Arabidopsis thaliana: one gene and its partner. The protein of the gene in region 1 interacts with the protein of each later gene in a pairwise test. Each region holds a gene or a part of one and is shown in the gene's direction. Other genes may lie near its edges.

What was found.
Region 2: the proteins of AT3G15640 (region 1) and AT5G47060 interact in a two-hybrid assay, tested with the Arabidopsis thaliana proteins (one study listed by BioGRID).

Annotation. Positions count from the first base shown.
Region 1 is NC_003074.8:5,294,231-5,304,060, forward strand, and holds AT3G15640 (Rubredoxin-like superfamily protein), read left to right. Parts: upstream 1-4,760; 5' UTR 4,761-5,042; coding exon 5,043-5,220; intron 5,221-5,436; coding exon 5,437-5,522; intron 5,523-5,716; coding exon 5,717-5,767; intron 5,768-6,638; coding exon 6,639-6,705; intron 6,706-6,831; coding exon 6,832-6,911; intron 6,912-7,072; coding exon 7,073-7,141; 3' UTR 7,142-7,515; downstream 7,516-9,830. Other genes in the region: UVR3 (DNA photolyase family protein), read right to left, coding at 1-114, 187-258, 340-426, 522-605, 682-780, 866-952, 1,173-1,244, 1,324-1,503 and 3 more; AT3G15630 (plant/protein), read right to left, coding at 2,958-3,281; AT3G15635 (uncharacterized protein), read left to right, coding at 3,166-3,287, 3,475-3,556. UniProt on the Arabidopsis thaliana protein: This protein is one of the nuclear-coded polypeptide chains of cytochrome c oxidase, the terminal oxidase in mitochondrial electron transport.
Region 2 is NC_003076.8:19,112,674-19,121,744, forward strand, and holds AT5G47060 (hypothetical protein (DUF581)), read left to right. Parts: upstream 1-4,111; 5' UTR 4,112-4,169; coding exon 4,170-4,522; intron 4,523-4,785; coding exon 4,786-4,966; 3' UTR 4,967-5,544; intron 5,545-5,791; downstream 5,792-9,071. Other genes in the region: AT5G47070 (Protein kinase superfamily protein), read right to left, coding at 6,010-6,480, 6,587-6,709, 6,925-7,176, 7,469-7,855. UniProt on the Arabidopsis thaliana protein: May act as an adapter to facilitate the interaction of SnRK1 complex with effector proteins, conferring tissue- and stimulus-type specific differences in the SnRK1 regulation pathway.

The DNA of each region.
Region 1 (9,830 bases):
CTGGTAAAAGAACGACGAACATGATAACCACATCCAATTTCCATTGTTGATTGCCCAGTCTGAATCGATCAGAAGTCTCTCAAACACATCACGCCCTTGTTCCCAATGTATGAACTAACACCAGAAACTAAGCATGTCAGTGAAATCCTCGGAGATAGAAACCAATAATTGTAGAGGCAGCATTACCAGATCCCCACGAGTAAGAAAACAGGCTACACAGTGACGCGCTAGATGGTGCATCCAACCCCATTTCAGAAGCTATAAATTTCAGAGAGAGAATGATTAAGAAATGATGCTTAAAAGGAAAGCTAAAGGCATTCAGTTTGACTAAAATCTAACCTGAACCATGATGGCATCAATCCAAGGGTATCCTGTCTTACCGTCCCTCCAAGCAGCCAACATAGCATGATCCTCGTTCCATGGAATCTAGTTTGCGTATGGAACAAAAATATTGGTCTAAAAAAGCATGAACATCTAAAAAATGAAGGAACATCATCAGGAAACTATACTACAGTTGTTACCTGTTTGCAGATCCGGTTTCCCTTCATTTTGTCAAAGTTAGGAGTTCCAAATGCAGTGGTATAGAAAAATTCTCGCCACAACAACTAAAGTAAAAAAGTAAAGCAATCAACTTTCTGCAGTCAGGCAGTATAAAAAACGCTCTGTAAGTCAATGACTGACCTGCCCCAGGAGAGAAACTGGCGGCGATGTATGCTTTTTAACATCCTTATAAATATTTTGAAGGCATTGATAAAAGTACCTCGAAGAAAGGCATCCGAACTTCTTAAATGTCAGGAATTAGATGGAAATATTAGGAAAATCGAGGGTGAAGCTTAAGTGGGCAAAACTATGTCATGAAACTCACTTTCAAATATGGTGACATAACTGTAGTAGCAGGCTTCAAGAAAGCAGATGGATCACCCTTTGGTTTCTCAAAGTTTGCCACCCATGCCTACACTACAAATAAAACCCATAACGAATTCAGCCCTTGACTTTGATAAAGAAGATATAAATCTATGAAGTCAATGTAAGAATATCAATTCTAAAATCTTAAAGTGATAAAATTCAAGTTCTCCAGGAGTAAGTTTCCTTCAGTCCGACAAAGTACTCAATCGAGCAGATTCCTACCATTTTTTTCTAAAAGAGAAAAACTTCCAAGTTCTTGACCATACCTTATCACTGATTGATTTAGTCAATCTTTTTAAGGCTTCTGATTCACCACCTCTAAAAGGAGTCCAATCAGCCTACAGACATTTACATGAGCATAAGATTCTCAGATGGATAAATTGTTAAACGACCTAAAGAAAACAGATCACCTCTTACTTGTTCATCATCTTTGTAGCCAAGTTCCTCAAGAGATGGTACTTCTGAAATGCCAAGGTTTCCAATATCTCCAATTGGAGGAAGTGAAGAATAAGACATCACAAGTTCAGATTTAGCACATGAGGGCTCCCCAGCAACCTTCAGAAATGATTGATAACTCAAAGGTGGCTTCCCACCGTTCTAACTTGCAAGAAAACCACACAAATGTACATAAATATTACAGTTCCATAAATGAAACATCTAAACTAACTCGGTTAACACTACCACTTACTTTCTCTATAATGTGTGCGGGATTGAACAGAGTATGGCTCACTGGAGAGAAAACCTCAACTCCAGTTGAAGAAGCATAATCCTATAGAGATTATAAAAATGCACTTGAGTTAGCTAAAATCTCAATGACACGCATAGTTCAATCAGTGGTAAGCAAGATCAAAACTTTAAGGCGTAATGAAACGAATTTTACCTTAACCTTAACATCTAAAGCTTGATAATACGGATCTGTATCATATTCAAAGCAAAGCCTCTTCACCTTCCACTGCCAAAAACCCCATTCATAACATTTCAGATTTCTATGTCTACAGTAAACCAATTTCACAGCTTTTAAACACACTGTCGAATAAGAAACACTACATTACCTCTTGCAAGCAACGAACTAGTACTTCGCCAGGTTCACCTTTAAAAACAAGCAACCGTGAACCAAGTTTCTTCAGGCTAGAATCGAGATCCTTGAGACTCTCAAGCAAGAACCGGATCCGGTTTACCCCGGCGCGAGACGAACCGGGAGAGAACGCAGATGGGTCTGACTCCATATAATGCGGGTCGATAACAAAAACCGGATACATAAATTCAGAACCTTTTGAGGCGTATTCAAGAGCCGGGTTGTCGTGAACCCGGAGACCTTTCCGGAACCAAATCAGTGAACCGGATCCAGTAGCCATTGATGTTATGGGATTGAGACGATAACTTGAAGGTGAACAGACGCAGAATCGTTGCATGAATATGTTTGAGATTTCTATAGAAGTTTCTTTTGAGAAATTCGCGCCTTTGAAAAGCGCGAGAGAAGGTTTCTTAAGACGAAGATGTGGTTAATATACGCTTCTTCAACTCTGTGTTTGCTAATTTGCGCGGTAATCAGCGTAAGATAAAAGAAGGGAATAGGTTATTATCAACGGTTATATTTAGGCCACGTCATTACTAAGGAGCAACATCATTTGGGCGATGTGTTCAATTATCCAACATTTAGTGCTTATTAGTATCCATGATTAGTGAAATTAAGAAAATTTACTTCATATATTTGAGATTGCAATCGTAATTATATTTGTATACTAACATTTTAATCTTTATACGTGTTGAACATATCTACCGATCCAACAGTTAGCATTAACAACTGAGGAAAAAAAAAAAAAGCATTAACAACTGACAACAAATAAAAAGCTAAACTAACTAATGATCCAACGGTTCACAATAAAGCAACATCATACACGATCCAGACCGTACAAACAGAAAACGACGCCGCACAATAAAGCGGTTCTTGAGTATCATCGTAAACAAAAAGTTATTCTTCATCCCATAAAAGAGAGACATTTTAAGTTCGACGAATTATTGATTATTTCTGGATCCGTGACCCGATCCAGTTACTTCTTGACCCGAACGTCAGACGCGAGTCGCGACGCGATCGCAGAATGGTACATAACGTCGTGGAATGTAGAAGCTTCGGCGGTTTTCCTCCGCAGCTGCTTAGCCTTCTCCTCCGTGAGACAACATCGCAGAGACCTCTTTTCAGCTTTATCCAGATCTGATTCCAGATTCACGGTTTTGTTGACGTAATCAGGTTCCGATGACATGCCAAAAAGAGGAGCCCACCATGAAACCGACGAAACAGGTTTCTTACGGGCTGGATCCGATTCGGAAGATGCTCGGATCGAGGAAAGAGCGGAGCAGGAGATGATTGTAGCCATTGTTAGGTAAAATGTGGTTATCTGAGAGAAAGCTCAAAGCTGTTTTTAGGAAGAAGAGAAAGATTAAGGATTTGTAAATTTTTGGATTAAGAAAAGAAAATGGATATGTAGATATTTAGGTGGAATCAGCTGCTATGCGGTGTGGTTTTTTATAGTGTGGAATGTTCGTTTCACTGGTTTTTATCAACGTAAGGGTATTTTCGGAAAGAGTGTGCAACGGTAAATGCGTTGTGCACTACGATAAGTACGGTGGAGATGAGAGCACTGGATTATAAAAAAATTTAGGAGATGGATAAGATTGAAGGCGTGGAGCAGCGTTGCCAATTGTCAAATGTCTTCGTCTTCACTTTTCGCTTTAATTATTTGTTGATTAGGATATTTTTGTTTGGATTTTACATTGCTTGTGTGACTTGTCGCTTTGACAATATCCAAAATGACGTGTACTCATTGGAAAATAGAGTTCAACTATTATGGAATATTCTTAAATCAGGAATAATCGTCGGTGATATTTGACTATATCTCTTTCAACGTATTTCGAACTCGTAACAAAATGTCAGTCTTCTTTTATCAAACGGCAAAATGTAAAGGTAAATGCATGTATATGATGTGATCATTTGCATGGAATAGGAGTTTTTGTTAGATTTACGAATGCTGAACGCATATAAGTCTTTTAAGACTCATGGTATTATACTATTATTGCATGTTTCATCAGCCATAAATAATGTGCAGAGAAAAACTAACTAACAAAACATTGATTATATATTTTATTGTATCTAATAAGTAATAACTAAAATAATTAGAGCTAAGTGATTGACTGATTTCCTTCGTTATTTTGAATTCAATTTTTGGGCTTTTTCCTATTTGGCAGATTCGTATCACATTAGCAACACTAGGGATTTCTGTTTTAGTTGCAAGAGAAGATAAAACGTTATAAAGCCCAAAAGACCCAATTGGTGAAGCAAGCCCGCATAAGAAAAAACCCAAATGTTGAACCAAAAAGATGAGGATGCAAACTTTTCACGCTAGTGTCGTACTAACGGAAAACTTCATATTTGGAGACATCGAGTAGATTTTTTTTATCTATGAGAAAAATAATTCATCTAGAATTTTATTGAGGATATGAGTATAAGATAATAATGAAAGAAACTATTAATTGTGTACGTCTTTATCGTTCATATGTTTTGTTCAATGGACATATATATACATTCTACACACAAACTACTATACCACGATTTTTTTTATGCTAACATTACCTCTAGCTACAGACAGAAGTAGAAAGAAAACCAAAACCATCAGGTATTACATTTGAAGTTTTGAATTGTGGAATTCTCAACGAGGTTCGAGGAACATGAATTTGGTTGCTAACTAAAGCAACTTGCTTGTGCCTGTGTGCATAACTGGACTGAGGAAAAAATAATCCTTACATGTCCATTTCATCATAATTTCATTTTGTAGTATATGCATCATTGTATCATTATTTCCACTTGTATCACTAATTCCACTTGAAATGTCACACAATATAGGGTCCCCTGACACGTGTGTACTATGTAGTTTCACACGTACCGGTTAATATCGAGATTCCAAGTAAAAAAGTGACCAATTCTAAATTAAGAATCTCTCTAATCTCTTCCCAAAGAAGAATCATCACTGAGGAAGAATAAAACATTTGGGGAGTTTCTTCGCTAATCCTTCAAGGTGTGACCTGAGAATCACAACACAAAACAATCTCACTCGAAATTCCTTTGACTCATCATCATCACCATGTGGAGAAGAATCGTCTCCTCTCAGCTCAAAACCCTAGCCGCCGATGTCGTCGCTGCTTCTCCTCGTCGATCGATAGCCGCCACCACCAGACCTGTCGGTTTCTATCTCGCCGCCAATCGATCAGCCATTTCCGCATCTTCTTTCGTTATCCCTCGTCGTTTCAGCTCCGATTCAGGTGATTCATCGTTGCTATAGTTTACGCATTTTCAGATCTCGGCTCAGGACTCTTACCTGCGCTGGAATTAGATTCGATTCACTATGTTTTCTTCATCGCATATTAGAGGATAGACTTAAATCTGTGTTGGTCTCTTAGATTGGTGTTGCTGCAATTTTGTTTTCATCTTCTCAATTGGAAGGTGAATGATTGTTTATTACGGATTGTATTTTGCAGTAGAGACTCCTGCGACGAAGAAGGTGGAGGATGTAATGCCCATTGCGACTGGACACGAGAAGGAAGAGCTTGAAGCTGAACTTGAGGTGATTGCTTATGTTTACTTTATGTATTGCAATTTTAAGATCTGAGTATGATTACAATTGTGTTTGTGATCATGACTTCACTTCTCGATAATTTTCTGGTATAGCAATGCCAATGGAGTGTATATTTCTGCTTGATAATACACTTCAGTTGAGGAAAATTTGATTTTGACTTTTTCATTGTTTTCTTGTGATAGGGAAGGAGGCTGGATGATATTGACTTCCCTGAAGGTCCTTTTGGAACTAAGGTTAGATAAGTTTCTTTTACCAGAGATATGTCGTGACTCCTCTTTGAATATCTTAACCTTGTTTTTTACTGCAAAGTCATCAGTGTTTCTAGGCATGATATAGTTCTTATGTTCATCACTAACACACGGGCATACGTGAAACAAACCAAGGACACTTAACTTAGCTCGAGTATTATGAATGGCTTTATGATAAATGTAGCTGTTTCAATGATCTCAATTAACTAGAATAAGTATGTATCTTGAAACTTATTGCTTCTTCAAAACTAATATGAGTCCAGCTGGTTTACTGACTTATATCGATCAACTTGCATTCTTTGCTATGGTTCATAATATTGCTTTAGCAGGATTACTATATCATGCAGCAATCACTTTGTTATGTCGTTTTGGAGCTAAATCATCTTGATATTACACTGGTCATATTTCTGGATTTTTATTTTTTTTTGTGAATAATGTAATTAGTATATTTCCTTCAATCAAGCACTAGCTTGGGGTTGAATCATATATTGGTTTTGGTGAATTAAAATTAACTCTAAGCTGTGTTTGTTAATTTACGGTGGCTCACTGCCTATGATGCTTTTGTGCACGATAATGACGAAAAGATTGCGGATGTCACATACAACATGTGCAAGTGTCTGTAGATCATGGAAATTCAGTTCTTAACATCCATAAAAAACTTGCTCCAAATTACTGAAGATATGTAGGAGTATATGACTGTTTTGCATGCTATGACAAGACATTTGATTTTTTCATTTTCTTGTGTCATTTTATCTTTTGAGTGAGCAGTATTCATTTTCTTTTGGCTACACAATTGGATACTTATTTTTTCATTTTCTTGATACACAAATTTGGATGTCATTTTGTATTGCCTTAGGAAGCTCCTGCTATTGTGAAGTCCTACTATGACAAGCGAATTGTGGGCTGCCCTGGTGGTGAAGGCGGTAAGTTCTTCCCTTCTTCAAACTTTAGTCGCATATTATGGACAATCTTTAATCGGCAATCGTTGTTGTCATTGAATATATCAAGACACATTATTTACCAATCTAACTTTCTCCTGAAAACTGCAGAGGACGAGCACGATGTTGTCTGGTTCTGGCTGGAGAAAGGAAAGTCCTTTGAATGCCCGGTTTGCACTCAGTACTTTGAGGTAAGTGAAAGTCGTATCAGATACTCTACTCAGTAAATAAATCGACCTAGCCTCTCATTTCATAGTCATAGGCCAGACGAATCTGTCAAAGGATTAGAGCAAGAACTCATTAAGCTTTCGAATTCAGAATATTGAATTGGTTGAATAATGTATGCTTGCAGCTGGAAGTGGTTGGTCCTGGTGGTCCTCCGGATGGTCACGGTGACGAAGACGATGAGCACCACCACTGATTCCGGCCTCTCCCTTGCCGCAAATTTTTCTTTTTTTATTTGCACATTTTCATATCTTTAAAAATTTTATGAATGGAATAAAACAAAATATCTACCGTTTTGGTGAAACACAGTTGAAAATGTTTTTTGATCTTTTTAGAACAAGACTCGGCATCAGAGTTTCCCAAGTGCCAAAACTCTTATGACCGTTGTTTTTATTTTTGTAACACTCTTGAATCAGAATCAGAATCATTCTTGGCTTTTGCTTATTATATGATTCACCTTTTATTTATTTTTATGGTTCGATGTCTTTTCATATAGGGACGTTTTGATCGTGTCCTTGATTCCTTGTGAACGGTCATATAATTCAATAGATTATAGAAATTCCAATTTTCTTCAAACCTTCTTTGTTGATTGGTTAAACACTAATTATTCATACAATGCACCTAATTTTACTTTCCTTAATTTATTGTTTACAAAAAGAAAAATAAAACGGTGGAGGTCTGTAATACATCGAGCCGCTTTTACTCCTCCGCGCAGGTGTCTTTCGATCCTGTCCTAACGTCTTTCGATTTTTTATTTTCCTCAAAGGTTAACAAATTATATATATAGAATTGAAGGTTAACAACTTTTAAGACCAAATTTTACTTGATATTGGAAACGAAATCATGCATGCATGTCGTTACTATTTCAAAATTGCGTTATTTAGCTATTTATGTCATGTACCTTTGATTTTCTCATTCTCATATCAATATTTGTTCATACTTACATGACCAAGCAGAGATTCAAATTATAGTATTTTGTTTCTCTTTGCGAACGTACCACCGTGTGAAACCAAAGCAAAACCTAACAAGCTATAAAATAGATGATAATAAAGATAAACAAAGTAGTATAGCGTTGTCGGAATTTACCCGAGGAATATATTCCAAACAATTCTTAAAAGGAGGAGTCATTAAAATAAACAAATACAACTCTAAAGAAAAAGAACGTCCGAGTTCAATATTCTGTTTCTACTTAAGACAAATCACCAAACATACAATTATTCTCTAATGTTCGACACAGCTTGCCCTCATTACAAATCCTCTCGTTTTCAAACATTTTTATTTGGTAAATATATCTCTCCTTTTTCAAACACGCATGCATGATGCATATCAGCATATATACATACATCTGGGTTTTCTACCTCAACATATATACATATATTTTAAAACATAATTTGATGTATGTCTAGTGTGATTGTGTGAAGTTAGATATAAGTACAACTAATCATATTATCGGTTTAGAACTAATGTCACGACTTTACACCGTCTCCGCTTGTGTGTTTAACAAAATAGTTAAATAAACACGTAGTATTAGCTGACTAATATACACGTGTTTAATATACTTTTTTCTCTTCGGTGTTCATACTTAAGTTTTCGTTTTGGGTCACGACACATATTTTTATATATGGTATACCAAACTTCCTTTACATATATGATATGCTGATCATCCATCCATGTGTCTCTCCGAGTTCTAATGTAGCTGCCGCATCAGAATTTTTGTCGAATTCTGAGAAAGTTACAAATATTATGTCGTATATATTTCTTCAAAATGTAACATACGGAAAAAGAAGAAAGAGTATTCTTTTCAAAATTATCATCTTTAGTTTTTAGTTTAACCAGAACTATTAAGAATACCAGAAATAAATTATAATTTGCTGATAATTTTGAAGAATGAGACATAAAAACTAAGTAACTAACTAATATAAATTCAACATTAACCTTATTTTGCAATGAAAAAAGTCTTTATTTTTCAAATTTCTAGGTAACGCTGATCTTATTTAAAAGTTAAAACATCCACTGCTGAAAATTCATGCAAAGTAGAGAGTATTAGCGCGATATCAAATACCACTTGTCTCCCAATTAAAATACTAAAAAAACTTGTAAATTGCTTGCACAAAAAGATCAATGCAATATGACTAATTTCTCTAAAGTATATATTAACATATTTCAATGTTTATCCATACAGCTACGGGACATTTCATCCTTCACTCCTTTAACTCACTCACTTGCTAGTTGCTACTTGATAATACTTTTTTTTACCGGATAATTTACAGATAAATGAACAATATATACTTTAGTGAGTTGATTAAATTAACTTATTAAGGTTGAAATCAGTATAAAGTGATAATGAAATGTATACCTATGAATATATCTCACACACTAAGAAAAACCTATGCAATCTATTTTTGTATACAGAATTACAGACGAAGTCACGAAGGCATCTCGTATCTTGTATTATGTAGAAAGAAAATACCCTTCTTTGGAAGTATTATATTCATCAATTCAACTTCTATATTAGAGTAAAATAATCATGTTGGTATTTTTTTTTTCTCGTGTCTAAATAGTTTAAAATTAATTGGCAGAGACACATTTCAGTGATCGCTAATAACCTTAACCAAATATAAAGAATGGCACGAATAGTACTTCTTTTCGATGTGCTCGCTAGCTCGAAAAAAATAGTACGAGAAAAATATATAACAAGGAAGACATTGTTTTAATCTGCAGACATGCTATTAGAATTCTTTACTATTTCCTCGGCAGAAAAGAAAATTTATTTATAAGTTTAAGAGTACATATTCTCTAATCGATGGGATTTATGCAAGTCATATTAAAGTTGCATAAACCTTTAATGGGTTAACCTTTTATTAAACAAACTTTTAATGGATTTT
Region 2 (9,071 bases), on another chromosome or scaffold:
AATAATATAAATGAAAAAGAGAATGTTAAATTCTTTTAGATATTTTCTATAATTCATCATGATTTCTTACTATTGATTTAATTTGTTAAGCAAAACAAAAATTAAATCATATAATCAAATTATAATATTAATTATTTTTTTGTTTGAATTTTTTTTTTATTGATGGAGATGTTCTTAAAATAAAAAATGAATTTTATGAAAAAGATAGAAAAACCGATGTAAAGAAGCGATATTTTGTTTTTTTCTTAGGATTATGTTGTTTTGAGTTCGAATAGTGTGACACACTATTACCATCATAAACAATATTTTGACACATCATTAAAATTATTTTATAAAAGAACTAATGTATAAGTAAAAGAAAGATATATAAATTGGATTTGTATACTAATAAATTATATTTGATGAATTTGTCGAAATTAATAATTATAAGAGTCATATGTCAAAACAATATATGAGGAGGCAAATAAGTAATTTTATTTTTAAAAAATTAATTTTATAAATATTTGGAAATAGATATTTTATGTACACAAACATAATTAGGTAGGTTTTTTTTTGTTTTTTTTTTGAAAAAGAATTAGGTAGGTTTTAGTTCGGAGATTGAAACACAAACAAGTGGGTTTCGGTATCATCGGAGCCTTACGCAAGTATGCGACGTCAACTTGTTAAAATATTTGCTTGCACGTATTCCTTTGCTCGTGTAAGGTGTATCACACTCCAAACCCCTCTTATTGCATTCCCATCAATCAATAAATTATTATACTGTTTTATATAGTTTAACGAATTTGAGTATGCAAACTCTTTTATTTTTTTGGCAATTGCTAGTCTACCGAAACTTGTAAAGTATTCATTCATAGGTAATTTACACCGCAAGTTTAAAAAAGTTGGCTAATCAATATTTCAAAATCTCTGTCTACAAATATTTACTTGAATGATTAACACACACCCACGCATATAACTATATATAAGTATAACATATTTGTTTGACAAAAATGAAATAAATGACAGTTTTGCGGTGTAACCGTATAACCAACAATTGGGACGGTGATGGTGACTCGGTGGTGTTAATGGTGTGGACTTTAAAGTTCGTTTGAGGACGTTGTAACGTACCAAATATATCACTATTTTAAGAAGCGTATTTCTAAAACTTAAAAATGCAAACTTTTCAAATATCCTAATGAAAGGATATTTACAAAAAGTATACATAAAAGAACAGAAAATTAACTGACACAATATATTAATACTTATGCAGTACATTAGTAAAAAAAATTACATCATTATTCTTATGCCTTTTCATTTTTTATCTTTCATCTTAAAATTGGTTAACAATTAAATTACCGAGTTAAATAAAACTTTATCTAGAGGTAGTGATAATATTAATCTTATTGGAAGAGATTCATATTTTGCACGTTATAGTAACTTGTTAATTTTTTTATATGATATAATAAATAAGTTAAGACGGTAACTATAAATATATCACATAAATTATAACTTATGACGATACAAAATAACTTAGCATGATATAATTATAAACTTATTGATATAAATATTTTGTTATCATGTTAACCTAATAAGTATTACCGAGATATTTGTTATCATGTTATTCTGATAATACGTTATCTGCTAACTATTCTGATTCATGTATTTTTTACATGATTATTAAGTCGCAAGTCAACTTTTTTGCTTTATATGCTAAATATTTTGTTACTTTTTAATAATAATGTTATCGTCTTCGCATATATATCCGTATAATAACCATATTGTAACTATGACAATTTTGTAATTAATCCAAATATGAAAGATACTTTTGGTTTATATTTTTTTTCTCTTTCATATTTACCTAATTTTTAAATTATCTCTTCTACTTTTTTAATTTCAACTTCTTCTAAGTATATAAATTTAATTCACCCACTAGATTTTAACCCGCGGTATACCGCAGAGACAATTTATTTTTTAAATTAGTATATATAAAAATTTACAAATTAAATCTATTTATTTTTATTTTATAGTTTACAATTGTTATTAAATAACATCCTGCCAAACCCGTCTCGCCAAATCCGTCCCGTAAAAAAAACCCGCCGTACACCACTAATTTAAATATATAATTAAAATAAATATTTTATGGGATTGCAATTGTATTTTAGTTTGTCAAACAAATATTTGTTTTAAATAGTTGCCAAAATCTAGTTCAAATTTTGGAGAAAAAAGATTTATTGGATAGATAAAGAATGTATTTAGGTGTGTTTTGTTCATTTTAAGGGATTGCAATTATATTTTTGTTTGTCAAATATTTATTGTTTTAAATAGTTGCTGAATACTATGTGCGTGACATATGAGATTGGAATATATTTGGAATATTTTTAGTTTGTTAATCAAATTATTTCTGGAAAAAAATCAATAATTAAAATGGCAGTCATTGTAAATAAGTCTAAACTTCATAATTTATTTAACAAAATAGCTGCATTATATAGACAATAAAATGACTTTTTTTTTCCTTTGTTTCTCATATATTGATAGATCACATAATTTATTGAATTAATATATACAAACAAGAGTTCCACTAATTCTTATTTGTTATTTCGATTCCACTATTCAACAAGGTCCACACTATTATTAGAAATTCAAACTATACTTACCATAAATATCGAAATCACAACTAGTCAGTCACACACCTATTCTAACATTAGAAAAACACCGACCTCATTGCACCACTATTATTTGTAGTTGTACCTCACAAAGCACCTCCCTCAAAGTCTTCGCAAAAACGTCACCCACCACCACGAAAATTCATAACCAAATAAAACGACAATTTTGTAATTCTTGATTTAATAAAAAAATTAAGTAAAAAACAATATTCTTACCATTTTGTCGCCATATAATAAGAAGAAGAGAGACACAACACAACACAAGTAGTAGAAGTGGTGTAGTGATTACGGTGTAACGCTTATTCCAAAAACCCCACGCGCGTAGGGCCCACCTCTCCCCCGAATCCCCATGATTTTCTTTAACGTCTCTCGAGTGCTGGTGGGACCCTTGTTTTATGGAACCCTGATGTAGTTTTATGTACTTTCATTTGTGACCCTTATACTTCTGTTAATTACAATCTTGCCGCTATTTTGTTGCTTCCTTCTTGTTTTTGTTACCTTAAAACTTTTGTTTGAATGCCTTCAGAAAAAGTTTACTTCTCTTTAGACGGATGTGATCACTTGTTCAATGTAACACCACCGTAAGTTACAGTGGTTAAAATGTCTGGTAGAATTATAGCTGTATATATTTATTGATCTCTAAAAAATTAGCTTGTAGAAATTATTGTCTTTAAATTGTTAGTAGGATCCATCCAACTACTACTTAAAAAAATCTGATTAGTATAAGATATATTTATGATTAATAGAAAAATAATTTTTGTACAAGAGATTAATAACTAAGATAGTAAAATTCTATCATTTCATTTCTAAAACCAAAATAGATGAAATTAATAAATAAATAATTATTGATTTCATGTGTGTTTAAACAATTTTTTTTTGTATCACATTATGTAAAGTAACAAGTTATCAATTTCATAAAAAAATATTTACGATAATTACATTGTTTTCTTAATTTTTTTGTCGACTATATATCTTAAAAATAATGTTAAAAATGCAACAATTTTGACAGTAATTCCTAATCATACGAAAATTTTCAAACTTTGCAACTTCTTCATGTATTATTGCATTGACAATCAGTTAATAATTTTACTTTAATAATGTTGTCTAAGTAAAAAAGAAAATTAAAAGTTAATAATTGAACTAAAAAGTGAATGTCGAAAAAAAACATTTAACTTTTTTACTTAGCTCTCTCGAAAGTTCCTCAAAAACCGAAGGACGAGTAAGTCACGAAAAAGACCATTTTGTAACGCCTCTCTATCAATTATTCCTCTATGTGTCAATAAAGTATATTTCTCAAAAGGAAAACAACAAAAATGGTTTTCGATTTCTTGTACTTTCAAAAATAGCATAAAAGCCAATAGATTCTCCTCTCTCAAAGTTTCGCCCCTTGTTTTTACTTTCTCTCTCTTAAACCCCAAAAAAAAAAAAAAGATCTTTTGCTATAAAATCCCACTTCACACTTTCTTCACATCAACAACAAAACCTCTCTCTCTTTCACTTTCTCTCTAAAAACCAGAAAAAAAAAAAATGGAGCTTTCATCGAGAAAGCCTTATTTCATTGAGGAAGAAGAAGAAGAGAATTTGGCTTCTTCTTTATCAGAAATGGAAGCTGGGTTTTCTGGTAACAATAATAATAGTAATAACCATGGAAATCCCCAAAACGGTGTCGTTTCTTCAAGCCGTTTCTCTTACGGTAGATTAAACAGTCTTAGGAACAGTCAGAGTTATTATTACAATCAATACTCTGTTTCGTCTCCGAGATCTGTTGTGTCTGGAAGATTTCATGATTTCAGATTCGATATTCAACAACCTCATTTCTTGGACTCGTGTTTCCTCTGTAAGAAACCTCTTGGTGATAACAGAGACATCTACATGTACAGGTAACATCTAAGATCTATAACATCAGATCTGTTTTTTTTTTGTTTTCTATCAATTTCTCTCATTTTTAGTCGAAATTATTACGAAAGGATTGATTTTTTTCGAATACCCATTTCTTCAATCTTCTGATTAATCAATTAAACGATTCATGGGTCTGATTTCAAATTCCTCTGTTTTTGGTACAAATTCTAGAACAGAACATATTTTTAATTTTGTTGTTTCATGGGTCTGATTTGAAGTTTTTGATTTTGTGAATTTTTTGCAGAGGAGATACACCGTTTTGCAGTGAAGAGTGTAGACAAGAACAGATAGAGAGAGATGAAGCAAAAGAGAAGAAACAGAATCTGTCTCATTCGGTGAAATCAGCTATGCGGAGGAAAGAACAATCTTCACCAACTAGATCTCGTGATTATGCTTTTCACAATGGAACTGTTGCTGCTGCTTAATTAAAAATATCTGGGAACTTTGAGAATTATTATAATTAATTAGGTTAAGAAAAAAATAAGCTATATTGTATCTAACGCTATGAAGCTGGTTTTGGATCCTCTCTCTTTCTCTCGAGATCTTAAGGATCTTTTAAAACTTTAGCTTCAAGTCTTGGGAAAAAGATGAAGAAGCTAAAGATCCTTTAATTTTCTTTTCTTTTTTTGTAAGAAAAAAATAGTTTCTTGACATGAAATTTTGGGAGTATGAGAAGAGAAAATGTAAATGCCTATGTGAATTATAATAGTCCATGGCATGTTTGAGTTATATTTTTTCTTTTGTTTTTAGATTTCGGTATCAATGTCTTTCGAGGGATATACAGATGTTAAATCAAATTTTAATATGTTGAAATATGAGAATATTATACGAGAAAACAAGAGTAAGCATTTTTTTTTAACTTGCTATATAGTTTTTTTTTTGGTAAGTACTTGCTATATAGTTTAAATGACGTATTTGTGATTTGATATAAGATTGAGCAATAGTTTGAAATTGATTCTTTTTGTGGTAAGATTTGGTGACTTGCGAAAAGTGGGAAATAAAGGTATAAAATATCTTTTTCCTTCAAATGCTTTTGATAGTACAGTTTTCTTTTTCTTCACGAAATCGGTAGTACAATATTTTCTGAAACAAATAATTAGATATCTTTTTTGATTATCAGTGGACCAGAAACTCAAATAAATTGAAGTATAAATATATATATATATATATTAAAATAAGATTTGTAGAATGTAATAATGCTTAAAACGTATAAAGTTTTCATGATAAATTCCAAACAACAACATTGCATTTGCATTCGTACATAGAAAACTTTGGCTAAAACGTTACGCTATCAACATCAAAACACTCTCATAAAACTTGATCTCAATGATTCTCATTCACCGTATTGAATTTTATTTACAAAACACACAATAAGATACATTTTCTCTACTAATCTCACAATAAACCAACAAATTGCATAAACTTATTTATAATATATAAACTTGCAAAAAAACTTCTAAACTCAAAATCATCCTCTGACACTAACCCCTCTCAAACTTTGTTTCTCAGGTTTTGCAACTTGTCTCCTCCTTACCTGACTACTTTCCTTGGTCGTAGTCGTAGCCATCGGATAATCTTCACTATCCGATTCTTCGATAATCTTTTTCAATCTTTCCACTACAATTTCCATCGTAGGTCGCTCTTTATCGTTCTTTTTCAGGCAAAGATCAGCCAATTTAGCCAAACTCCTAGCTCCAGCAGCTGGATAATTGTTGCGTAACCGAGGGTCAACGATCATGCTGAAACGTTGACTATCAGCAGGATACTCTTTGACCCAATCCAATAGCCTTCGTTCAGCCACTGGCTTGTTCCTCTCAATGGTTCTGCGTCCGGTTATGATCTCGTAGAGCACAACACCGAAGCTATAGACGTCGCTCTTTAACCGAAGATGACCTGTTTGCACGTATTCCGGAGCCGCATAGCCGTGTGTTCCAACTCTCTATACATAGAAAGAAGAAGAACTGTTAAAACTTTGTAACAGATTCATCACTTTAAAGTACGAGTGAGCTTATAAAATGCACATTTATATATCAAACCAAACTTACTGCGGTAGTGACATGAGTATTGTCGCCATCAGGTCCTTCTCTGGCAAGCCCAAAGTCCGATAATTTTGGACAGAATTGATCGTCTAAAAGCACATTAGAGGATTTGAAATCTCTATATATCACCTGTCAACCAAATAAATAGGAAATTATCTTCCAATCTAAACACTAAACACACATCCCCGGTTCACAGAAGTCTCGATCCTAAACTACTAATCATGTCTCTATGACCACATTTAATATAACTTAATGTTTAACATTGTGCCTGTCCGAAAATATCAAGAACAATAAAAAGGGTCTGTCTAAAACCAGATTTCCTCTAATGGGTTTCGAAATTTTACCTTAAGATCATGTAAATAAGTCAATCCTTCAGCAGCACCAAGCATGATCTCGAGTCTTTTTTTCCACGGTAATGTGTGTGATCGACGAGGGAAGAGATGGTCTTCTAAACTTCGATTCGACATGTACTCATAAACCAAAAGCCTCTCGATCCCGGTCTCGCCGTCTTCCGAGCAATAACCTATGAGCTTCACAACGTTCGGATGATTCACTACTCCAAGAAACTGAACCTCTGCTAGCCATTGCTTGTGACCCTAATACACCATTCAAACACAGAGAAAGGAATATTACTAAAGCAACAAAGTTGACTTAATAAATGCATCCATTGACTCATACTTACTTTTCCATTTGACCATTCCACTAAATCTTTATATCAAGATTACGAAATTTCTTCAACTTTACTTCAAACAAGTGACAAAATTTGATTTTGCTTCATAATTGCATCAATCTAATCTTCTATTTCAACTTCTTAGCTTCAATTAATTGGTTAATTTATCTTCTAATGATTATATTAGCAACAAAGCAGAGAGAAGATTAACTTTTTACCTGTAAACCTTGTCGATTGAGTTTCTTGATGGCAACGACAAGTGGAGGATCAGAAGAATCTCCATTGCTGAGAATCTTTCCTTTATAAACAATACCAAATCCACCTTCACCGATCACAAGCTTTCTGCTAAACACATAAGTGGCTTTACTGAGTTCTTCGTAAGAAAAAACCCTAAGATTTTGTTCTCTCTCTGTATACAAATCTTTGATACTTCTTGGAGAAGGCAACGATCTTGGTGTCTGGAGATTAAACGAAGACGTTTCACTCCGATTCGTCAGTTCTGGAGCTGAGTTTTGTAACAACTCTTTACCTTTTCTTTTGTTCTTGTTGTTGTCTTTCTGTTGCTTTCTGGGTTTCTTTGATTTGAACAAGAACAGACAGTTCATGTCTTAAAGAGAGATAAAAAAATTCTAAAGAAAACCAGTGGAATTTTGATGGAAAACACAAAAATTAATTACTTTAGTTAAACCAGAAAATGTACTAAAAATTTGCTTTTTGGGTTTCTTAAGTTCTAAAATTGAGAAAATGGAACAAATGAAATTTGTAGAGAGAAATAAAGTTTTTTTTTTTTTGGGTTAGATTGTGGAAGAAGAGTATGAACACAGATCTATATAACAGCTTAATGAGAAAGAGATTTTTTCCTGGAAACTGAAGGAGAGAGACAACAAAACTAAAAGCCAGAGATTGAGTTTAGTATAACAAGTCTCTCTTTCTCTGCTTTTCTTTGTCGAGAAAGCAGATTAAGATGGAAAAAGACACAAAACGTTACGCCATTCCTTAAAAGATAAGGAGAAAGAAGAGAAGAAATCGTGTTTCAACACAAAAGAAAACAGAAGAAATCGCGTCCGTACGGATTACACGTTGAAAAGTATGTGTGAAAGACTCATACATTTCTAGACTCTGTATTAATAATTGTAGGTATAAATAACTTATATTGTGGAATTTTTAAAATGAATTTACAGCCTAAGACTATGTATATTAGTTTGTTTTTTAAGCACTCTTATTTATTTGCTTTTAACACTCCATATTATTTTTTATTTTTTTTCCCAGCTAATTATTCAACATCTGTTTAATTTTTAACATTTACAATGGTTTGTTTAATAATATTCAACATTTTAACCCACTATTTTTATCTCATATTTTTTATGTTTCAAATTACATATTAATAACACTTATCAAATAAATTTAAGTTAAAATAATTATAAAATACAAACAAATTATGTTTGTTGAAATCCATTTTTCTAAATGTATAAAAATTTAAACAAAAATGTATGTGAAGATAATTAAAAGAGTTATAGTAAAATAAACTTCTTTTTTTTATGTGCAAATCAAATGAAACAAGGATCTTTTTATAAAGAAATTTTTTTGATTAATTTTGATTTTAAATTCATAAAAAAATAAATTAGTTCTAATCTTAAATATTTAGGGTGAAATATAAAAATTTTCAGAATTTAATATCTAGTGAAAAGAAGACACGTGTCGCAAGTGACGCCCATTTATTTGTGTTCAACATGTTGAATCTTTTCAACTATAGTTAATCCACAAATTTTTTTTTACTTTTTCAACACCCTCATTGTAAGAGTTTCAACGGTTGAATAAACC